Linked DNA regions of Rhinolophus ferrumequinum. The protein of the gene in region 1 interacts with the protein of each later gene in a pairwise test. Links are inferred from orthologs where the notes say so. Each region holds a gene or a part of one and is shown on either strand. Other genes may lie near its edges.

The links. The genes of interacting proteins can lie anywhere in the genome.
Region 2: the proteins of DNPEP (region 1) and MPP1 interact in binary tests that used the Homo sapiens proteins (3 or more experiments, as listed by UniProt). The two-hybrid records come from large-scale screens. The link is inferred for Rhinolophus ferrumequinum from reciprocal best matches to the Homo sapiens genes DNPEP and MPP1.

The regions. Positions count from the first base shown.
Region 1 is NC_046291.1:16,123,516-16,130,872, reverse strand, and holds the start of DNPEP (aspartyl aminopeptidase), read right to left. Parts: upstream 3,395-7,357; 5' UTR 3,268-3,394; intron 2,970-3,267; exon of another isoform or gene 2,822-2,969; intron 2,744-2,821; exon of another isoform or gene 2,726-2,743; 5' UTR 2,720-2,725; coding exon 2,632-2,719; intron 2,547-2,631; coding exon 2,458-2,546; intron 2,350-2,457; coding exon 2,236-2,349; intron 1,981-2,235; coding exon 1,855-1,980; intron 1,634-1,854; coding exon 1,503-1,633; intron 1,218-1,502; coding exon 1,142-1,217; intron 1,025-1,141; coding exon 917-1,024; intron 177-916; coding exon 99-176; intron 1-98.
Region 2 is NC_046284.1:5,755,884-5,763,740, reverse strand, and holds the start of MPP1 (55 kDa erythrocyte membrane protein), read right to left. Parts: upstream 3,349-7,857; 5' UTR 3,207-3,348; coding exon 3,105-3,206; intron 1-3,104. UniProt on the Homo sapiens protein: Essential regulator of neutrophil polarity. Regulates neutrophil polarization by regulating AKT1 phosphorylation through a mechanism that is independent of PIK3CG activity.

The DNA.
Region 1 (7,357 bases):
AGACTGTGGGGGTGGCCAGAGCCTATCTCACCACCTGCTGGGGCTTGAGGCAGTGGCCCTGGTGCTGTGTGCTGTCCAGGGATGCCCCAGCTCCTCACCTGCAGGGCACAGAAGCAGCTATGCAGATTGTCCAGTCGAGGGGCAAAGATGAACTCCCCAAAGGCACCACCTAGGACCTAGAAAGATAAGACAGTCAGCCTGACCTTTAATCCCATGCCTGACTCACCTGCTTCTCCCTGCTCCCAAGGGCTTTAGCTTGAGCTGCTTCCTTGGTTCCTTGCACAACCTGTCCCTGACCCCTGGCTTTGGACTATGCTTCTGCTGTGTAGGGCTGAGCAGAGAATGGTGAATGGGGCTAGGCTGGAGCTGAGGGATGGAACGGTGGAGACCTGCCTTTCCTGACCAGTTCCTGTGGCACAGGAAAAGGGGCTGAATGGTCACAAGAAAAGCTAAAGAAATAATGAGAAGAGGAGACCAGCGAAGACACAGAAACTTAGAATACATTCAAACAGGATCAGACATCCAGTCTTAGCAATCTCCGATTGTCAGCAACCGGCAGGGACTTGAGGACAGGCTCCAGAAAAAGGGTGGCCACATGGAGCCCTCTTGCCTTCAGAAGTTCAGAGCTAGGATGAGTCAAAGGAGACAGGAAAAACTAGCAAAAACTCCTGGGGATCTGTGGAAAAGCCAATTCCCAGGCCCCACCCCAGAGAGCCCCAGGAAGCAGGGCCGGTGCAGGAAACTGCCGTTTTTGAGAACCACTGTCCTGGAGACGAGGGGAGGAGTGTCTACTGGAAAGAACGGGGACGAGAGTACTGACGGACTGGCAGAGCTGACAGTGCTGCAGGGGACAGACTGGGGCAGGCTGGTATCCCCGAGGCTCCCCGCCTCACAAGTTCCTGCTGTCATTCCTCACCGCAGGCTGGGTGTCTGCCAGGCAGAGCTCCATTTCCACGATATCCTCAGGACTCAGCCCCAGATCGGCACAGAGAACAGACATGAGGACTGAGTGGTGCCGGTCATCCTGCAGGGCGGAAGGGTGCTGGGAGGAGGCTCTGCTCTTCTTCTCCTCTCCCCTTCTAAGGGGATCAGTCCCTTCCCCACCTGCTCACCCCTCCCTGTGAACAAGGGACTGTCTTACTGCAGCATTGAGGGGCCCTGGCTCAGGCGTCCCCTTCTCTAGCTCCTCCTGGACTGCTGTGGCAAGAATGGGAACTCTGTGGGGAGATAAGTGAGGAGGGATTGTGGGGAGGGCACAACAGGGTGGGGTACCCCTAAGCTCAGGTATCTCCTGATGGGGAACAGCCCTTGCCCTTTAATTCCCAATTCGCCCCCCGAATGGAAGAACTGTTGAGCACCCTTGGACATTAAGTGGGTCCCAAAAACAGAACCTGACTGTGGCTACCTGAGACAGTGATCTCCCAAGTCCCACTGGGGCCCATTCCGTCACCTGGGGCCACACCCCATCCCGCTCGGTCACCACAGCCCTCGCCCAGTCTCACAAGTGCATCTCCGTGTTGGGCCCAAAGTTCTCATTGATATTTCGCTGCAGATGGATGGCCAGGTGCGGGATGCGAAGAATGGGCCGGTCCACATGCACCAGCCGCTGCTCCAGACTGCCTGAGACAGGGCACTGTGGCCGACCAGCCAGGGTCAGCCCAGGGTGCCTCCCGATCAGTTAGTTAAAGCTCCCACTTCACACAGACTAACCGAGCTGGTCCTCTGACCTGGACTGCCCTTACCCACCCCCCTCCCTGTGGGGGAGGGCTCTCCACAGGTCCTCTGAAGGAAGGTGACAATCAATCTTCAGGTAGCTGAAGCTGAGAACCTCCCAGGTTCAACCCCAATTACTACCTTGATAATGACGCGTCCAGCCAAGGTCAGGTCACGGTCAAACCAGGTGCTCCAGATCCCACCACCATAGGTCTCCACACCAACCTGCAGGAAGCCCACCTGGCTGCGACGTGATCGCCGTTTTACCTGAGTGTGAAGACGGGGAATGGGAAGTCAGAGAAGGCTGCACGACACGATCTGTAAACGAGATAGACTATCCACAAGCGAAGTAACATAGAAGGAACACTGGTGACAGAAAGACCCAAAGTGTGAAGAAGGGGAAGACAAAACGTTTTCCTGCTCCAAGGAATAGATCCCCCAATGTGTACCTCCCAGCTCTCTTCTGCCCACTTCTCTCCCGCTTTGATGCCTCCCCCATCCCAGAACAGCCCAGTTCCTCACCCTGAGGCAGGGGCTGTCTGTGTGGGCCCCAATGAGGCTGAAACCGTTGCCAGGAACATACTGGCCTCCTACAGCAAAAGCGATGATGGTGGAGGAGTTCCTGGTCAGGAAGTACTGGGGGGGGGGGGGGTTGTTGAATTAGATTAGCCAGCCAGCTGGCACACGGGACTTTGAGTCCCTGCCCAGGGAGCTGCCTTTCGGTCTCTACCCCACCCCTAGTACCTTGCTCTCCGGCTTGATATCCCAGCTCTCGGTCTCCTTGAGTTCATGGAAGCCAGCCTGGAGGAGGCGGCTGCGGCACTCCGCAACAACTATAGAAAAAGAACCCTTTCACCGCGACAGAAGCCGGTAGGGGGCACACCCGCCCCACCCTCCTCCGCTGCCCTGGTCACTTACCGTGGAAAGGAGAGGGGCTCCTGTTTACGAACTTGAGGAGTTCTCGGGCCGCGGCCTGCACCGCCTCTTTGCGGGCCATGCCGCTCATGGCCACCTAGGAGAGGGGAGCGCTCTAAATAACACCGACTATCATCCAGGCTCCAGGGACTTCCACCCCAACCCCCCAAAGTGACCGATCCAAGGCTCTGACCTCTGTTTCTGCCCGTTTCCCCACAGAGAGACGCAGATGTCGGGCCGAACCTCACTCCGCTGAAAAGTTTGTGCCTTCCAGCCAAAGTATCATCACCCCAACAGTGCTCCCCGCCCAGCTCGTCCAAGACACCCCGCCCCCTAGTCCGAGCATCAGCGCCGCCGGCTAAGTCCCACCCCCACGTGTCCGCCAGGCTAGGACATGCCGGTCGGGTTCCCGACTCTGAGCTCCCAAACCGGCTCCTAACTCTGAACTGGTCTGAACCACGTGCGCGACCCCCTTCTGTAACTAAGGCCCCGTTCACCAGGGAATACCTCTCCTCCCCGCCCATCCCTTGTTCCCACCCCACCCCAGTCTCTTCCAGGCTACCCCTTTCCAACCCCAGGAAGGTCAGGTCACTCCGGGCCAGGCTTTCGATTTCGTTTTGGGTCGGGCTCGGCCCCCACCTCAGCGTGCTGCTTGGGCCCGAGCGGGCGCCGGGCCGGGTCTGAGCTAGAAATTCGAGCCGGGCAAGCGGTGGGCACGCACCTGCACGGCCCCGCACACCGGCTAGTATCCGCTCCCCTGGGCCCTGCAGTCGGCCCGCCCCCACTCCTGCCGCCGGGCCCGCCCCGCGCAGCGCCCCTCCAGGCCTCACCGTCTGCCCCGCCTCCGCTGTTCGCCCGCCCCGCGCGGGGCCTCGGCGTCGCCCCGCCCTCATCGTTCGCCCCGCCTCGCGCCAGGCCTAGTCTTCCTCCCCGCCCTCTCCGCGCCCTCAGCGGCGGTGGCGGGAGCCCTCTGCCGGCCGGGAGGTAGTAGGACAGCCACCAACCATCGCCCCCCACCCCTCTTCAAGGTCAGAAAGTCAGAGAAGAAACTCGCCCCACCAGCTCACCTGGTCGGACAGGTACTGTACAAAGTGCTCTTTCTCGCCTCAGGCACCCTGTGATAATGATAGGAACATGGCTAATGGTCATAGAGTGCTCACCATGAGCTTTAGCTGTACGATTAAGCTTAACGTGTTATCTCGTTTAATCTTCACAGTTGCCCTCTCAACTTTGTACTTTTACTGTCATTTTATGTGAACAAACCTAAACACAGAGATGACTAACCTAGCCAAGGTAGTAAATGGCAGAGGTGGGGTTTGGACTCAAGTAAGTCCAGGGGCCTGGAACAACCCACTCTCAGATCGTTTCTGGGCCTTTGTTTTTCTTGGTAAGTGTTAACGTTACATGGGAGGTCCCTGAGGGACAGAGAAGTTAATGACTTGCCTAAGATCACACAGCTGTCTGGAGGCATCTGGGATTTGACTCTGATACCCATCTGTATTCTTTCCACATCTTAAGACGACAGGGAAAAAAACAAGTTCCGTGTGTTCTTGGAGGCAATTCCAATATTTCTGTGTCAGAAGTGGTGAACGCAATTTTAAAGCCCCATGCAGCTGCCTAACCATAGATACTGGTCAGGGCTCTTGGTGGCCCCTAGGTCCTGGCACCAGGGGTGTTATCAACATTCCAGGGATGACAGATGGATGGAGCATTTATGTACTGGGGTGAGAATGTCCAGGGAGTGGGGTGTAGTGGGAAAGGTCCTACACCCCTCACTTCAAAGGAGTAGCTCTTTCAGGGGAGTGTTCAAGAATATACACACTAGGTGATGGGTTAAACGCTTGGCATTCCTTGACCAACTATTGAAATGCCATTATGTACAAAGTTTCAGTGCTGAGTGGGACATGCAGAGAACATTCTTGTCCAGCTACTGGGGAAGGGACACATTTGAGGATAGTGAAAAGAGCTGAAACAGGGGTACAATGTATAAAGAAAGGAGACTTAAAGAAATATCTTTAATGTTCCTCTGATCACAAAAACGGAGTACACGTTAATGTGAGAAATTCGAGTATCACCAAAACATGTACCTTAGAAAGTGAAAGTAAATGATAAATTGAACATCCATTCTTGATAAAACGAAACAAAATCATCTTACAAAACCAGAAAGAGGAAGGATAAAGGCTGTCTGCTAGAAATCTACAGCAGGCATTAGTGGGGAAATACAGAAGTGCTCTTATTCAAATCAGGCGTAAGACACTGGTGAGCTGTTGCCAGTAGTGGTCAGTGTGGACCTGCAGTCAGAGCCAGTGCCACAAAACAAAATAAACAATTACATAGTAGACGGAAAAATAAAATTTGTCATTATTTGTAGGTTATACTATAGCATTACCTAGAACCTCCAAGAAAATAGACTGACAGTTTTTTAGAACTGGTAGGAGGGGTGGCCTGATTTTCAAATCATTGGCTTGCCTGTACAGTAATCAACTGGAAAATATAATAGTAAAAACGTCCTATAAGAAATACTATTAGAAGTCCTAGGAGTGAACATATGAGAGACCCAGTCTCCCTGAAACTAGAGAAATGCATTTTGATTTGTCAGTATAGCAAAAATGAAAAAAAACTGGTAATACCAAGAGTTAGAGAAGGCTTGGGGTAATGCATGCCTTTATACTCAATTTCTGTGGGGTAAATAAACACTCCCTGTGGCAATTCCAGGTTGCCATCATGCACTAAACATGGAGTTGGGAAGAGATATTTAAAAGCATAGCATTATATAGATTTCCATCATAGACTTAAAATTGACATAACCTCAAGAGCATAGATTTATGGTAAGATAATTAGGAAAGTGATGATTTTTGAGTATTTATTATCTGTGTTTGTAATATGATTTATTTAATTGTAAGTTCATATAATTTAATTTTTTAATGATTGCTGTGTTTAACAACAGGATCACAAAATTCCTGGAAATTTGACAATCAGTTCCTATGAGCTGGTCCAACTTGGCTCTAGCACACAACTTCACCTGTACTCTACATCGTTATTCCTCAAACTGTGATTTGATGATCTGGGAACTTTTTAGAAATGCAGAACCCCAGCACTTACCCAATCCTACCCAATCAGAATCTGAGTCTTAACAAGATCCCCAGCTGATTTGAATGCACATTAATGTTTGATACACAGTGATTGAATACCATGTGGCCATAAAAAAATAATGTGAGGTCAATCTTTATGTATTATAGAAAAAAGCTCCAAATATATTTTTGAGTGAAAAAAAGCAATTTGCAGAATAATATTTATAGGACAAGAGCATTTAAGTAAAATTTACACAATGAGCTAAGTTTCTAAATTTTGTGTGTGTGTATATATATATATATATATATATATTTTTTTTTTTTTTTTTTTTCCTCCCCCAGGTTTGGAAGGCGAGTGGTCATCTGTGGACAAGGTTATGGTACTGGATATGAAGCTAACCAAAAAGAGTTTCTGAGACTCATTCTTGCCCTCAGCCTCCTGAGAAAATCTTGTCCCCAGTCCTTAGCTGATGTTTACAATGCTACCATTTATTTGTTTATCTTCTTGGTTTAACACGTGCCTGTGAGTTAACACTGCAGTCAGTGACACACACTTCAGTGTGAGTTGATTTGTTATGCATGTCCCTTCTGACTCATTACTTTATGAGAGAAGCTTCCTAAGTAGTAATTTGTCACATAATTATTAAGGGTGATTTAGGATACAAAAGACCAAAGCAATGCTGTAAGGAAAAGAAGGTATGAGGTATTTGTGTGTGTGTGTGTGTGTGTGTGTGTGTGTGTGTGTGTGTCCTGCTGCTATCTGCTAAAATGCGTGCAGAGAGGAGCTGAATCAGGTGATCTTGATTTCCTGATGCCATGACAGCTCTGAGTATCTCATTGCTGGTAGTTATCTTGGTGCTTTAAATGAATAAATAATTCGCTTCTGGGTATAATGATAGGAGCTTGCATAACACAGTATGTGTACTTTGTCCTCTGACAGTGTTGTTGGAAGAGCACTTTGGTTTCCAAAACGTGTCTTCTTCTCAAGTTCTGTTTTCCCAGCAAGACTGAACTGATTAAGAACGAAATCCCAGGATGCCTTGAGGTGAGTAGCTCACGCAAGATTACAATTTCCAACCAATTATGTTCTAGGAGGGAGGTTTAAAAAGTCCTCTATATGGTTACAAAAAAAAAAAAATGGGGCCGGCCCGGTGGCTCAGGCAGTTGGAGCTTTGTGCTCCTAACTCCGAAGGCTGCTGGTTCGATTCCCACATGGGCCAGTGGGCTCTCAACCACAGGGTTGCCAGTTCAATTCCTCAACTCTGGCAAGGGATGGTGGGCTCCGCCCCCTGCAACTAACAATGGCAACTGGACCTGGAGCTGAGCTGCGCCCTCCACAACTAAGACTGAAAGAACAACTTGACTTGGAAAAAAGTTCTGGAAGTACACACTGTTCCCCAATAAAGACCTGTTCCCCTTCCCCAATAAAATCTTTAAAAAAAAAAAAAAAAATGAAGCACCTCTATAGGTATTGATAGGGAGCAATTTCCACGATATACTAAGTGAAAAAACAAGGTGCAGAATAGCCCTTACGATATGCTGCCATTCGTGTGTGTAGACCACAGGCACACATTCTTCATTTTTTTTTTTTTAATTTGGGGAAGGAGAACAGGACTTTATTGGGGAACAGAGTGTGTACTTCCAGGACTTTTTCTTTC
Region 2 (7,857 bases), on another chromosome or scaffold:
TATTTTCCATTATCCTTTTTGTGAAAAGACACAGGTTCCAACAGCTTCTCAGTACCCTACGCCTGCCTGAGTCCTCAGTTATGTCTTAGCCTCGGCACCAGACCTGTGCACAGTAGGCCAGAACGAATGATAACCAGTGTGGAGTAATGCTGCACCCCAGGGCCTAAGAATCAACAGACCGGTCTTAGTGGAAACTCACCTGGGGCCTGACTTATTTGTTAGGTCATTTTTTGATGTGAGATAGGGCCAAGTGAATTTTCAGGGATTCTCGACCTGCTGCTTCAGGTCGTGGAAAAGTGCTGCTTCAAATAAGACTGAAAAGTAGCATTAGGAATTTTAGAACCAATTTTATGTGCACTAATGGCTACTACTGTAAAGAATAAGGCCAGAGAGAGCTTATGAAATCAGTTTCTCCAAGGAAGGAACTACTTAAACACAGGAAACAGGCTACAGCTCAAACCTATTGCAAAATGATCGACTGACAATACTTTTTTAATATCACATGTGGACTACAGTCAAAAGAGAAACTTTGGGTTTTGAGTCTTTAGAACTTTTACAGAAAGCAATCCCTTTAAACGAAGCCTGCAGCAACATAATTTTATGAATTCCATTACAGCCAACAACTTCCTCACAGGTTTTCTTGCTTCTTGCCAGGATAGGGAGACATCTCTTAGAGAGATGTTGGATGTCCCCATGTGGTTCAATGTCCCAGTGAGATCTGAGGTCCTTGACAAGCGTTACCTCGGGTAAACATCACCACAACCCTCCTAGCAGGTCCATTTCACAAAGAGACACCTAAGGCACAGAGAGCTTCAGCAGCTTGCCCAAGGCCACACAGCGAGTGAGAGGCAGAGCCTAGTGTTGGCAGCAAAGACGGTTAGAGCCCCAAAGGGAAGGTGAACCTGAGGAAATAAAAATCAGCAGGTTCGTGGGGTCAAGACAGCAGTCACCAGGTGGAGATTCTCCCTCCGATGTCCACACCTTGGCTGGTCTGGATACTATTTCATTCAGGAATTTAATAAGTTTTTTTTTTATTTCAGCTTCTTCAAGTCCTTTAATAACACCAAAATAAACGGGCTAACCCGTACACTGCATCCAGTATTTTAGGATAAACTCACAGCCTCACAGAAACTGCTGTTTATTTAGACGGTGTACCCACAAACATAACTCCTGGAGTGATAGGGCCTCTTTCAAAAAGGTAGACAATATCTCAACCTGCCCGTAAGGTTTACCCAAGGTCTGGTCATGGAGTTATAGGTGGGGCTGAGCCTATGCCAACTGGAAGGAGCCAGCTAGAAAAAAGACGGCACATAGTAGGATTCCATTTACAAGACAGTCTTGAAAAGGCAAAAGGATAGTATCAGAAAGAAGATCCATTTGCAGTGTGGTTTCCAGATTTCCAGGGCAGGGGGACTGACTGTAAAGTACCAAGAGGGAACTTTCTGGAGTGATGTAAATATTCTATATCATGACTTTGGTGACAGTTACATGACTGGATGCATTTGTCAAATCCATCGAACTGCACAATTTAATTCATGAATTACATGTATGTTAATGATACCTCAATAAAGCTGCCAAAAGTAAATTTAATAAAGAGATTATTTTGAAAAAAACTAAGGCTCAGCCAAGTGAGCTGATCATAGGGCAGAAAAAATATCACACAGCCAAGCTTCCGGGGAACCAAGTAGTTTTAGACCCTGGTTCTCTTCTAGGGTCTACACTCCATGACTTCCAATTTTGTCTTGTCATCTGAATAACAAGTGTCTTCCCCACCTGTTCATGCCACAGATCGTTTAATCCTAGACTATTGCAATCGCGATTTGAAACGATAGACAGGTGTGAACACGGCACTGAGGGCGGTGTAAAGGAGTGGTGATGTGGCAAAGCAGAGAGTACACTGAGCTTGGAATCTGCAGATACAAACTCCAGCCTCAGTTCTCATGTTTATCAGTGTTTTCCTTGAGATAATGCCACCCAGCCCGGAGTCTGCAGCTCTACTGTTTGCTTTGCCTCGGGGATCTTAAGTTTCCTCACCTGTGAAGGCAGAAGGTTATGCTAAATCTTTAATGTCCTTCTCTCAGTCATTTATTAATTCAGCAAACCTTTCTGAGGACTCATTCATAAGGCATTTAAAATAAAAACAGTGAGTGTGAAATAGGCGTGATCTGGAAGATCTTGCAGTCTAGGAAAGAGAGTGACGCTGCGACTTCTGAGGCTGGGTCATCAAAGGCAACAAAACATCTGCCTGGCTCTCTCTCCCCACATCCCTCTCTCTCTGTGGACAGTCATTGGTACCTGGCCACCATGCTGTGAGGAAGGCTAGGCCACATGGAGGGGCTGCTGGTCTGTGGCTGACAGCTCCAACTCAGAGCCAGCCTCAGCCTCCAGACAGTGAGGTACTAAGTGAGCCTTCTGGTGGCTGTGCCCCTGCCTGAGACCCTGAGCAACAGCCTTACCTTGCTGGGTCCAACCCACACCCAGAACTATGAGAGATAAGAAGAAAATGCCCAACCTTCTCTGTGGCATCTTTGAGGACAGAGGTTAACAGGTCTTTCCAGCCCATCACAGGAATCAGGAGGGCAGAATTACCTCTGAAATCCCTGCATTCCTTGTCTACCCACAAATACACAAGGGCTACTGCATTTGCAGACTAGCACAAGGGGTTCTGCCTACCTATATGCAGAGGGACAGTGAGTGAGCACTTTAGAGGGACAGTTGGCTTTTACAACCTTTTCTGCTGACCAAACACAAGCATTTCTACACCCACGAAGTAGACCTACTCTTGGATCTGCTCCTTCAAGTCTTTCTGCTACCCTGATTTCCGTCCACGAAGAAGTTTCCTTGACCTTAATAAGCACTCTGTCCAGGCCTCGGCCTCTCCGGATTCCCACCTAAAAGGGCTGCTGGGGGCAACCACCCACCGTCCCCCAAAGTCCACACACCCTGCTGGCCGCCTCGGCCTTCACCCCGGGGACAGGACCCCTGGGGACAGGACCCCCGGAGACAAGGCCGCAGCCAGGGGAGGTCCTGCAGCGGGTGGCGCCACCTGGACCCGAGTCCTGGCCCCGCACCCCGCGATCTGGGGACCCCCGGGGCCCGCTCACCTCCGGCCGGCTGCGCTTCTGCAGCAAGTGCTCCAGGTAGAGGTCGGAGAGCGCCGTACGCATACTGCCCCCGCTCTCGCTCTCGCTCGCCTTGAGCGTCATCTTGTCGGTGCCGGGACGCAGAGACGCGGGGACGCAGAGACTAGGGGTCGGACGGAGGCTGGAGTGCAAGGGCTCCGGGCCTGCGGGGCGGCGGAGGCGGCGGAGGCGGTGCGGCAGGGCCCGTCTCCACCCCGCAGGCGCCCCGCCCACTGCCGCCCTCGCCCCGCCCACTGCCACCCTCGCCCCGCCCCTGGACCCGCCGACGCCCGACCCCCGTGGCTCCCGGCACCCGGCTCCTGAGGACCACTAGGAGGCGCAGCTCTTGTCTCGGCCCCTGAGGCTGAATCCCAGAGGGGCTCCGAGGAATAAAGAAAACCGCGCCAAAACAGCGGAGCAGCCCCCAGCCTTGGGCCGGTTGAGTGCACGGCCCACACCCTGGCCGAATTCCTGGGGATGGGAGGGAAGTCTCCAGGGGCTGCGACGGCCGCCCTTTCAACTCCAGGCTCTACCTATAAATGCATGCGGGTACAGGACATTGCGAAAATGCCTTTAAGGCTCCTGTGCTGTTGGTACTCTCGTCATTTACATTGCTGTTCAGTGACGGAAGACCTGACTGCCTCTAACAGCAAACTGTTTCTCCTTGTCTTAGTCCACACCTCCTGCTGTTAATGCCACAAAATTTTTGAGGGATCAGTGGGAGCAAAGGGAGCCGAGATTCCTTAGGAATCCCAGAGTAGGATTCCTTAGCATCCTAACACCTTGGTGGCGTTAAACAGCAGTCTTTCTGAACAAAACTTTTACTGGACTTACAGGACTCAGGGTTGTCCACTAAGGCGTCTGTAGACACCTTTACCTGATGAAAACCTGGCCCCCTTTAAGCCAAGCTAGTAACCTCACAGTATTACAAGCAGTTCATAACTCTATGTACTCTATTTGGGACCTTCCAGTAACTCAGCTAACAGGAGAAAATCCAAGGGCAAGAGTTTGGAGCCAGATCACCCACTTTGCCTGCAAAGAGGCTGAATTCATATGAGTGATAGCTCCCTTCCCCAAGCTTACCCTAAAGGAGAAGGAAGGCAAACACACACACACACACACACACACACACACACACACACACACAATGTATTCCAGATTAAGGACTTAAATGTCAAAAACACAACTTTAAAGCTCTTGACAGAAAATATCAGCAAAGAACTTTTAGTCTTTAGGATAGAAAAAAGATTTCTTAAACAATGCAGACAAATGGTTGACTATAAAACAATATTGATTTTTGACTGTAGCATTAAGAACTTTCACTCATCAAAAGACAATGTAAGATCACTGCACTGTACACCTGAAGCTGAACAATAATGAATGCCAACTATAATATTATATATATGTATGTATATATGTGTATGTATACACTTACAAGAGGCGGAGTACAGCATTGGGAGTGGAGACAGTGGAAATGGGATGGCTCGGTGCGATGTCAGAGAGATAGTGGATGGGGGGTGGGGGATCCACAGTGTGAGGGAGATAAATGATAAACGTCTAAGTATTACTTTGTCTTGTGCACCTGAAACTAATAAAAAAAAAAGTGAAACATTAGGAAAAAAAAAAAAGAAAAAGAAACCAGAAGCCATTCTCCAAGGCAGCCACCTGAGAAAGAAGTGGGTCCTCAGACAGGAAGTAGAACGGAGGGGTGGACTTGAGGGGGGTGGAAGGAGAGCCTTTATCTGGTTTTCTTGATCTGGAGCTGTGCTTTCCAGTATAGTAGCCACTAGACACGTGCGGCTGTTGAACACTAGAAATGTGCTGGTATGAATTGAGATGTGCTGCAGTGTAAAATACGTACTGGATTTCAAACTCAGTACAAAAAATATAAATAGTTAATTAATAAAAAAAGACAACGTAAAAAGCACAAAAGACAAGATATGCATTGGAAGAAATGATTTTCAAAATACACAAGTGACCCTCAGTTTTTCCTCTTTGTCTCCAAAACTGTTTCTGATTAGTTCATTCACTTATTCTTTTCTTTAGATTCCGCAAATAAGTGAGATCATATGGTACTTATCTTTCTCTGTCTGACTTATTTCACTTAACATAATGGATGATGTGATACAGAATTGCACACCTGAAATCTATGTAATTTTACTAACAATTGTCACCCCAATAAATTTAAAAAATAAAATTAAAAAAAATACACAAGTGACAAAGGATTCCTATTATGAATATAAATAGAAATTAATAAGAAAAACACAAACAATCCAGTAGAGAAATGGGTAAAAAGCATGAATAAACGTTCCGCAGATGGAGAAATACATATGACCAATAAGTATATGAACAGATATCCTACCTCATTAGTAATAAGGGAAATAAAAAGCAAGACTATGGTGAAATACCACTGTACACTCATTCAATTATCAAAATGAAAATGTATAACAATATTAACTGTTGAAAAGCGTGTGATCCATATGAGTTCTTGAACATTGCTGGTGTGAGTAAAACTGGTACTTGACAGTTAAGAAAACAATTTTCCATTATCTTTTAAAATTGAACATGCATCTACCGTCTGAGCCAGCAATCTCTCTTTTCTCTCTCTCTCCTCTCTCCTTGCTCCTTCTCCTGAGCCAAACCATTCTTCATTTCCCCCACCTCCCTCATGAAGCAGGCCTCCTCTGAGGGAGGGCCTAGGACAAGATTATACAGTTGGAAGATTAGTTTCTGGGTTCGCTAGCAAACAGAGCCTGAGGCAACACATATGTGCTAAAACTTCACTGTAGGATGCAATCCAATGGGTGTAAGAGTGAGGGGAAAGGGAAAATGAGGCACAGAAGGATGGAAAGAAAATATAAATTGGTGTGCTCCTGAGCTTGCCACTGCTATTCAAGAAAATACAGCTTGTTTCTCAGTCTCTCTGGATGCCTCCAGATATGCTGTATAGAACCATGGCATCTTGAAACTGTCAAGGAAAGGAAAAAAATTGATCTGCCAGCAGATTTTGGCCTTATCTCTTACTGGTCGAAGTTAACCCAACTGGGTGTTAATTTTCCCACACCTCTGAGTTGTGTTACCTGGGTCCTGGTAGTAATTTAGAGAGTCAGATCCCACACACCACAGTTCAGTGCTGAGTTCAGAAGTGACAGGGGTCACAGCCTCTGTAGGTCTGGTCACATAGAATTTGAGGAGTTTTGGGCGCAGTTTTCCCATTTTTATATGTTAAGAAACTATAGTGATTGTTATTAATACTTAAGAAATAGTTGCTGTCTTTCTCTCTTTCCATAAAATTTACCCATGAATAATTCAAGTGGTTTTCAGTATAATCACAGAGTTGTACAACCATCCCCACTATCTAATTTCAGAACATTTTCATCACCCTCGAAGGAAACCTCATACCCATAATTATTCCCAATCCCCTTTCCCCTAACCAGTGGCAGCCACTCACCTGTTTCCTTCAGGACTAATTGAATCTACCACAAGGAGCTGAAAAGAAGCCTGTCCCTTGACATTTTATAAGTATAGATTGGCCCTTGCAATGGTTGGTAGCCGACAGTCACACTATTGGGGTGGCCTAGCAAAGCTTAAGTGAATATCAAGTGAGTTCTTGACTAATAGATCCCCAATGTGCCTGGCAGAAATATGTCTTTTCTGGAGAAGTCTTCATTAATACCAAGCCTTCATTTCCACACATATTTGCCAAGAAAATATGCAGCTTACAGTAAAATAAAATATATCACTACACACAAACAAGGAAACAAAACCCCACGAATGAGATCCAGCAGGTAACAAAATTGAATCAAAAACTTCAGACAGTGGAATTCAAGATTAGCTGAACATTAGAAAATGTATTAATCCAATGTCCCACATTAACATATTAATGGGAAAAGTCCTATTATCTCAGTAGGTAAAAAAATATTCAGTGTAACTCAACATCTAGTAAACAAACAAACAAAAACCAACTTTTAACATAGAAGAAAGCATCCTTAATCTGATTTTTAAAAAGTTATTTGTAAAAAACCTACAACAAATATATTTAGTGATGAAAAGCCGAATGCATTTCCTTTAAGATTTTGAACAAGAGAAGGATGCCTCTATCACAACATTTTTTCCACCTTGTATTGTAAGTCCTATTCGGTACAGTAAGGTAAAATAAAGGTATAAAGGTGTAAAGATTGGGAATGAAGAAACAAAATTGTTATTATCTGCAGATACTTATTGTCTTCGTATAATATCTTATTGTATCTGTAGAAAAGCTACAGATAAATTATTAAAATTATAAGCTCTATTAGTAAGGTTGCTGGCTACAGTCATTATACAGAAATCAATTGCATTTGTATATACCAGCAACACAGAGAAAATATAATTTAAAAATACCATTCATTATGACATTTAAAGTGATCAAATAGGAATAAATCTAATTGTCTATACAGAGTGTATGGAGACAATTATAAAACCATTGGAGTCCAGTGAAGAAGGGCTAAAAAATGGAGCGATAAGTCATGTTTGTGGTTTACAAGATTCAATTTTATGAATATGTTCTCCCCAGATTGGCCTATAGCTTCAATGCAATTCCAATAAAAATCTCAACAGATATGTTTTGTGAAATTTGGCAAACAAATTTTAAAATATCTGTGGAGTTGTAAAGAATAAGAATAGCCAAAGCATTCTAGAAGAAAATGGTCAGGGGACAGGCCTCCCAGAGGGCAAGACCTGTAATAAAGCTATGGTA